2 linked regions of the Oryctolagus cuniculus genome follow. The protein of the gene in region 2 interacts with the protein of the main gene of each other region in a pairwise test. Links are inferred from orthologs where the notes say so. Each region holds a gene or a part of one and is shown on either strand. Other genes may lie near its edges.

The links. The genes of interacting proteins can lie anywhere in the genome.
Region 1: the proteins of UBASH3B (region 2) and DOC2A interact in binary tests that used the Homo sapiens proteins (3 or more experiments, as listed by UniProt). The link is inferred for Oryctolagus cuniculus from reciprocal best matches to the Homo sapiens genes UBASH3B and DOC2A.

What each region holds. Positions count from the first base shown.
Region 1 is NC_091450.1:7,405,492-7,409,773, forward strand, and holds the start of DOC2A (double C2-like domain-containing protein alpha), read right to left. Parts: upstream 2,801-4,282; 5' UTR 2,600-2,800; intron 1,905-2,599; exon of another isoform or gene 1,886-1,904; intron 1,681-1,885; exon of another isoform or gene 1,428-1,680; intron 1,427-1,427; exon of another isoform or gene 1,407-1,426; intron 1,367-1,406; exon of another isoform or gene 1,216-1,366; intron 892-1,215; 5' UTR 879-891; coding exon 614-878; intron 327-613; coding exon 247-326; intron 65-246; coding exon 1-64. UniProt on the Homo sapiens protein: Calcium sensor which most probably regulates fusion of vesicles with membranes. Binds calcium and phospholipids. May be involved in calcium dependent neurotransmitter release through the interaction with UNC13A.
Region 2 is NC_091432.1:115,071,971-115,075,952, reverse strand, and holds the start of UBASH3B (ubiquitin-associated and SH3 domain-containing protein B), read right to left. Parts: upstream 2,801-3,982; 5' UTR 2,652-2,800; coding exon 2,524-2,651; intron 1-2,523. UniProt on the Homo sapiens protein: Interferes with CBL-mediated down-regulation and degradation of receptor-type tyrosine kinases. Promotes accumulation of activated target receptors, such as T-cell receptors and EGFR, on the cell surface.

The sequences.
Region 1 (4,282 bases), on a different chromosome or scaffold from region 2:
CAGGGAGCAGGTGCAGCTTGACGTAGGGGTCGGCCAGGCCGTTGAAGTCCATGGGCTTGAGGCCCTGCAAGGAAGCAGTGTGGGGATGAGGGCTGTGCCTGCCTGCCTGCCCTCTGCAGAAGTGGGGGGGAGGGAGTGGGAGGAGCCAGCGAGGGGTGGGAGGGGGGAGGAGCAGTGTCCTTCCTGCCCCTCCCAGGGCAGAGGGCAGAGCAGGCGAGGAGGGCCTGAGAGGCAGGAAGTACCCACCTTGGCCCTGAGGATGCTACAGTGCAGAGCGCAGGAAGCCTGGTCATACAGAAGATCAAACTCCAGGGTGCCCAGGGCGGCTGGAAAGAGGGCGTGAGTCAGTGTACCAGGCCAGGGGTGTGCGAAACGGGCTGGGCAGGCATGGGACGGGTGTGTGCCCTGGGGCGGCGTGTGTGCGTGTGCGCGCGTCTGGGTCCCCGGCTCGGCTGCCACCGGGGCCGTGAGTGGGCTGGTGGAGCGTCTCCGCAGAAATATTGAAGCTGCAATCGCCTCACCACGCCGGCTGCAGCTGCGGCAGCGACAGGCCCCCCCCCCCACTCGCCCCCTCCGGCCCCCGCCCCCGCTGCCCGGCAACCCCCAGACTCACTGGCGTCGTCCGAGTCGTAGCTGTCCACCTCGGCTCCATCCTCAGGCGTGGTGGCCCCGAGGAGGGCAGCAGGGGGGGCCAGGGCCAGGGGGGCCAGGTGAGCAGGGGCCTCCCCGCAGCTCCCGCCCCCTGCTTCAGGTCCCGGGCCCAGGCGGGGGAAGTAGTCGGAGATCTGGCGGATGGGCCGGATGGGCCCGGGGCACACGTTGATGGCCATGTGCTCCTGGATGTTGATGGTCATGCGGTCGCCCCTGCGGCCCCTCATGCAGCACCCCTGGCTGGCGAGGGGGTGACAGCGTGAGCCCAGCCACCTGCCGCCTCTACTTGCCAAGGCAGCCTGCCCGGCCAGTGGCCCTCGCTGACCTGCCTTCCCAAGTGACAAGCGGACAGCAACCTGTGCCAGTCAGCCAGCATCACAGGGGCCGCTCCCCCACAGACGGGTCGTGGGTCCCCCTCCACCTCGTGGGTCTACCTGGAGGTTGTCCCTTTGTCACCTTCCCACCTCCCCCCTCTCCTCCTGGGCTCTGGTCTGCCCCGAGCCCAGCCTCCCCCAGAGCCTCTTCATTAGGTCCCCGCCTCTGTCCCTCAGAGGCTCTGCCCACCCTCTGCAGCAGGCGCTGGTCCGGTCAGGGTGTCACCCGGCCCTCAAGGCTGTCCCTTCATTCAACCCCAGGATTCTTCTGCCTGCCTGCTCCTCCCCCACCCCGCGCCGCGCAAGGTGGGAACCCCAGCCTGCGATGCCTCCTCTTGAAATTGCAGCCGCAGAAGCGCTGAACACCCCCGTAGCACCCACCGAAAACGCGCTGGCCCTCACCCTCACACCCGCGGCCGGCCCAGCCCCCTGCACCTGCCTCTATGCCTCCAACAGGTGCCCGGGCACTGCGCTGCCGGCGGGTGCGGGCTGGGCGGCGGCGGGCGGCGGTCCCCGGCGCGGCTAGCGAGGAGAGCGCAGAGTCCGGCTGTGCGCGCCGCTTGGGAGCCAGAGCCGAGAAAGTGCGGGGAGGAGGGGGTGAGCGCGGCGAGGCGAGGAGGCCGCCGGCGCCGGCAGCGGCGGGGAGGGGGGGCGGGGAGGGACGGCCGGGCTGGGGAGGGGGCGGGACTCCGGCTCACACCCGCCGGGGCACGCTCCGGAGCGCCCGCCAGTGCGCACCCACCAGCGCGCACACGCACGGGCACGCGGGCTGCCACCCGCTCGTGTGCACACGGGCGGGCACCCACGGCGGGCCGGGCGCTCCCGCGCGCACACGCCTGGGCCCACGTGTGCGAGCTCACACGCATGCACACGCGCTGCACACTCGCAGGAGAACTTCGCAGACGCACACCCGCAAACACGCGAGCTTCCAGCGCCACCACGAAGCTGCGGCGAGAACGCCCGGGGCTTTCCCAACTCCTCCCGGGAGACCCAGGCCGCCGCCCGCGCGTTAGGCCCGCAGCGCCGCCCTCCGCTCCCGGGTCTCCGGACCACCGGCCTCGTTGCCATGACAACGCTGGCTCATTCTCCCCACCCCTCCCCCGCGGAGAGGCTTGGAGGAGGGAGGAAGACGCCGGTCCTCCCCAGCCTTGGGTCCGTAGGGGCGGGGCTTAGTGATCCGCAGTGACTTGGGACCGGGATAGGGTAAGGGGATCCAATCCACCTGCCGCCGCTGGCCTGGGATCTGGGGGTCCCCAGCACCTCCTCCCTTTGGCTGTCCTTGTGACCCTACTCAGCCCCCAGGGCCCAGGGGCCCCTTCCCAGGGGTGATATCTCCCTTGGGGATCTCCCCTCCCACAGTGCATGCCCTGCCCACCCGTGGGCTTCCCCAATCAGGTGTCTCCCAAGGCCCTCCTCCTCATTCGTCTTTCCTGGCTTGAGCCCTGCCCCAGGCCAGCTGCCGGCCACCACTGGCTGTGACTAAACCTAGCCTGGGATCTTGGCTCTACTTTGTCCTGGCGAGGCCTTCAAGGCTCTACAGACCTGGACCACATCCGCCCCCTGCCCACAAATACCTGAAGTCCCCGGAGCAACCTTGACCTTCAGGTCTCTGGAGCTTGGCTCAGGAAGGCTCCTCCACCTAAGAAACCTGCCTCTCCTCCAGGAGTCATCTCAGGCCACCTCCTCCTAGAAGCCTTCAGCGAGCATCCGGCACAACCCCCCAGCCGGTCCCGCTGCCCCCCCTCAGCGTCCAGAGCTGGGCTGTGGCTGTTTGCTGTCTGCTTGTTTACGTGTCCAACTCCCCCACTAGCCAGAAGCTGATTCATCTGAGTCCCTAGTGCCCCAGACAGGGCCCAGCGCTAGGCCGGCACCACTGAATGATGGGATTGAAGACAACCATGTGTTTGCACAACACACTGAATATACTTAGGCCACCCAGCCCAGCACTGAGGACTGGTGAGATGGGGGGGGGGGGGAGGCTCTGGGACAGCAGTTAAGGCACAGCCTGAGCTCCTGCGCCCGGCCCGCCCGTGTTGGAGTGCCTGCACTTCAAGTCCAGCTTCCTGGGGATGCGCACCCCGGGAGGGCTGAGGGGATGCTCAAGTGATTGGGTCCCTGGGAGACCAGGTGGAGGTGCTGGCTCCTAACCTCGGCCTGGCGCAGCCCCAGCTGTGTGGCATTTGGGGAGTGAACCAGCAGATGGAAGCTCTCTGTCTGTCTGCCTTTCAAATATATAAGTAAAGGTTGAGAGGGTGTATGTTTTGCCAGTTTTTAAAAAAGTAAGAGGGGCCGGCACGCTGTGGCGCAGTGGGTTAACGCCCTGGCCTGAAGCGCTGGCATCCCCTATGGGCGCCGGTTCTAGTCCCAGCTGCTCCACTTCCGATCCAGCTCTCTATTGTGGCCTGGGAAAGCAGTAGAAGATGGCCCAAGTCCTTGAGCCCCTGCACCCACGTGGGAGACCTGGAAGAAGCTCCTGGCTCCTGGCTATGGATCGGCGCAACTCTGGCTGTTGCAGCCATCTGGGGAGTGAACCAGCAGATGGAGGACCTCTCTCTCTGTCTCTACCTCTCTAACTCTGTCTTGCAAATAAATAAAAATAAATCTTTAAAAAAAATTTTTTTTTGACAGGCAGAGTGGACAGTGAGAGAGAGAGAAAGGTCTTCCTTTGCCGTTGGTTTACCTCCAATGGCCGCCGCGGCCGGCGCCCCGCGCTGATCCGATGGCAGGAGCCAGGTGCTTCTCCTGGTCTCCCATGGGGTGCAGGGCCCAAGCACTTGGGCCATCCTCCACTGCACTCCCGGGCCACAGCAGAGAGCTGGCCTGGAAGAGGGCAACCGGGACAGAATCCGGCGCCCCGACCGGGACTAGAACCCGGTGTGCCAGCGCCGCAGGTGGAGGATTAGCCTAGTGAGCCACGGCACCGGCCTTTTAAAAAATTTTTTTTAAAAAGTAAGAGAAATGTCCCCTCAGACTCCACTGAGGTAGCCCTTGCTACCCACCCACTGGGAAGAATTCCAAATGTCTGGTAGCACACAGTGTGCTGAGGCTGTATGTGCACGGACACCGACTCCGCAGAGGCCGGCAGATACCAACGCGACCAACACACACATCTTTTTGAAAGATGTACTGATTATTGGAAAAGCAGAGTAGAGAGAGAGAAATATTGCTGTCAACTGGTTCATTCCCCCAAATGGCCACGACCACCAGGTCTGGCCCAGGCCAAGGCCAGAAGCCAGGAACTCCATCCTGGTCTCCCA
Region 2 (3,982 bases):
TTCTGTCTCTCTCCCAAATGAAGTTAAAAGCCTGCCCCCTGAGACGTCTGCTGACCTCTCTTGTTAGTGACCAGAGTTATCAAGGGGAAGGCTGCCCGCATCCGCCTGTCTGGGTTACGGCACGGGACAGGTAAGACTGTGCAGGCCTTGAGCAGACCAGAGACCATGTGTGAGCTCCAAGGGCTTGACCCCTTGGAGCCACAGAATCTATGGCAGACTGAGCAGCAAACCCTACCACCCCCTTACCCAGCCTGCTCTGTAATACCCTCAACAGTAGCCGTGTGATAGACTAAATAATGACGCCCCCCAAATGTCAATGCCCTCATCCCTAGAATCTGTGGATGCCCAGGCAGATGGTTAAAAAGGGAGAGGGGGAAGATTTTTTGTAGACATGATTAAGTTAGGGATCTTGAGATGGGAGATGACCCTGGGTTACCTAAGCGAGCCCCAAGTGCCATCACATGAGCACTTCTATGTGAGATGCAGAGGGAGAATGGACAAAGAGAAGACACCATGGTCACCAAGGCAGAGATAGGAAGGAGGTGACCACAAGCCAGGGAGTGCTGGCAGCCACCAGAAGCTGGAAGAGGCACCAAAGGACCATCCCCTAGGGCCTCCGGAGGGTGCATGGCCCTGCTAAGACCTCGATTTCAGCGCAGAGACCCTGATTTTGGACTTGTGGCCTCTAGACTTGAGGGGTAATAAATCAATTATTCGAAGCTGCCCAGTTTGTGCTACAGCAGCCACAGCAGAAGAACTGTGAGGCAACACTCAGTGTCTGCCCACTATGTGCCAGGAATGGCTCTATGCTTTTCACCTGTATTGGGAAATTTACACCGTGGCCTGAGATGTAGGGCCTGGGCTGTACAGACACAAAGCCTGGGTTTGAATCCCAGTGTGACTGCTTGCTGTTGTGACCTTGGACGAGTTACGAAACCTAAGCCCCGGTTTTCCAGTTCATAATATGAGCATATAGTTATCCTCTTTCTCATTGGATTGCTAGGAGGATTGAGTGGGTGATAAAGTACTCAGAATTGTATACAGTAATTACTCAACCAATGCTAGCTATTATGGGACCTCTGGCGTGAAGCAAGCCAAAATTAGGCCATTATGCTCAGCTGTCAGTCCTCTTGGATTTGGGGGGATGAGGGAGATGTCCCCGAAAACCCATCCCAAGAGCCAGCATGGCAGTCAGAGGCGGGTCCCCTAAGTATTTCTTCCCACAATTAAATAATCTTGGTCCTTAATGCTGGCCTTGGCTCAGAAAAGGCAGATGCCTGGGACTACGCTAATTCCAGCCTCTTCAGATCCTATCTCCAGTTCTTAAAGAGAGCCAGGCACATTGACATCCTCAGGACGACTCTGAACTCCCAGCATCCGCACCTGACACGCCCCACACAGCCCACCGCCTCTTCCCTCTGTAATCCTGGCATCGGGAACTGCAGCCCTGGTGCTTGGAAGCCAGGGACACAGCACGGTGTGACCCTGCAAAGCCACGGCACCCTGTCCCAGCAGGCCAGGGGCACTGAGTAGAGCCAAGAGATTCACCCAGGGGCAGAGCTGCCACCTGAAAAGGACCAGGAGGCAAAGAAGAAGGAATCTGGGTTTTCACCGGCCCTTCCTGATAAAGTTTGTCCAACTCTTCTGTCCGGTGACGTCATTCAAAGAAGCAGCGCTCTGCGGGGGGCCACTTCAGAGACCTGCACAGGGTTAGGCCACAGGACAGGGGCCTGAGCACCCTGCCTCTCTTAGGCAGGGTGCCCGCGCCCCAGGCTTCCGCTGACCGGCCTAGGAAGACCCCTGCCGCTGCTGCTGCTGCTGCTGCCAGAGCTGGCAAGCAGGCCTCTCTCGGCAGGCTGCGGAGGCGGCCACCTGCGCGCTCTCGCCGCCCTTCCCCATCCCACCCTCCCGGAGCGAGAAGGGCGGAGGAGGGCCGCTGTCTCTGCTCACTCGCAGGCACCCACAGATTTCGGCACTGCAGTCACTACTGAGGACACGCCGGGTCCTCCCCAGCACTGAGCACGCGGCAACACCCACGCTCCCGCTCCGCCTCTTCGGGAGCTACACCGAGCCGCCTAGCGACCTCGCAGCTGGAAGCGGGCGGCGGTGGGGGCGCCGGCCTCCCGGCCCCGCAGTGCCTCGCCCTTTCCTGGCCACCGGCGCATCCCAAGTCAGCCCAAGTCGCCCGTGGGGCCCCGCCTCCCGGGGCTCGGCGCAGGAGACCTCGAGGTGCGCCACAGGGAGCCTCCTAGCGCCCTCCGCGGGGATCCGGCGCCCGGGGACTCGAACCCGCGGCCCTCAGCTTCCCAGCTTTAGGCTCCCAGTTCAAGTCCCCAACCCAGCAAGCCCGCGCGGCGCCGCGCCCACCCTGCGGCCGGGAAGTAGCGGGGTCCCAGGCGGGGGGAGGGGTGCAGCGCGTCCATCCTGCGCCCAGCAGGTCGCGGGCAGCCGGCACCGGGCACCCGGCGGCCAGGCGAGCCGGAGCGAAGCCGCGGGCGGGAGGGGCGCGGGGCGGTCACTTACGCGCGCGCTCGGGGGAACCCCATGGAGAGTAGCACGTCCAGCGCCGACCCGTGCTTGATGGTGCCGGGGCGCTGCTGGCGGTTCCTCCGCGGGGTGACTTTGCTGTACAGCTCCTCTCTCGCAGCCATGCCGAGCGCGCTGAGGTGGCCGTGCCGAGCCAGGACTCAGCGGCCGGCCATCGCTGGAAGGCGCCGGGCCGGACGGTCCGGGAAAGCGGAGGGCGCGGGCTGGAGCCGGGGGCCCGGGAGGGGACTCAGGTACCCGGAGCCCGGCGGCGGCGGCGGCGGCGGCGGCGGGGGCGGCGCTCCGAGCCTCCCCGGGGTCGAGACTGACGCTTCCTGGTGAGGCCACCGGAGCCCGGCGCCAGTGAGCAGCCTCTGTGGGACCGGCCGTCAGCGCCCCGGGCCCCCCGGGCGCCCCCGACGCAATGCCTGCAGCGGCCCTCTCTCCTCCGCCCCCTTCCTTCTCCGCTCCTAGCAGTCCGGGAATTTGCAATGAGTAATTTTTGAATGGATCAAAAAGGAATAGGAGCCTTGTGGGCTGGCCCTGGCTTGCTGTGCCGGGCCCCGCCCCTCTCTTAAAGCGGCAGCGCGGCCGGAGGTGGCTCCCTCCCGCCGCCGGCTGCGTCGCGCAGCTTCTGGGCGGGGGATCCCGACCGGCGCCGGCCCCGGTGCGTGGAGGCTCCCGAGAGCCACCCCTGGCTCCCCGGCTCTCAGCCGGGCCCCAAGACTCCACATCAACCCATTTCAAGGGTATGTAGTTCCAGATGGGATTAACCCTGGAAATCGGGAGAACTGGTGATGGCATTCTTGGTCCAAAAAGCCCCAATACAAGGTTTTGCTTCCGAAAGATCCTGAAAAACCTGCTGGGTTGTTGGGGTCGTGGGAGGGCGAGTTCCCCTCAGCCGGCCAAGGGGTTGCACTGCAGACGCACTTGGCTGTCCACGGCTGTGGCCCGTGACTGCCTAGTGACTTAAGGGGAAATGCAGGACCCCGAGGAAGAAGGAGAAGGAGGAGGAAGGAGTGGGAGGGCACTCTAATCCTAAGAGATGTTCTTTGGAATGCGCTGGTCTTCGCTAGGGAATGAGGGCCCCGTCAAGAAAAGGAGTCAAAGAAACCACAGGTGAATTGCATCTAGGGTGGGCAAAACTAGTTCCACCTGGAAGAAGGTGGCCAGTCCTCTCCGTACTGATGCCCGGCGTGGCTGGAGGACGTTAAAGCCCTGTCATTTTGACAGTCATTGTCCTCTGTCAGGGCCAGGGCTCCATCTGACACAGTGAAAGAGACAGAGTCCACTCTAGGTCATCCTCTTGTTATTTTTTGTGTTTTTTTTTTTTTTTTTGTAACAATAGCGTAATAATAAAACCTAATATTTCCCGTGCCCTTGTATATGCCAATCATTGTACAAAACATACTAAATGCAAGAACCGATTGAATTTTTAGTGACCCTGTGGGTTGTG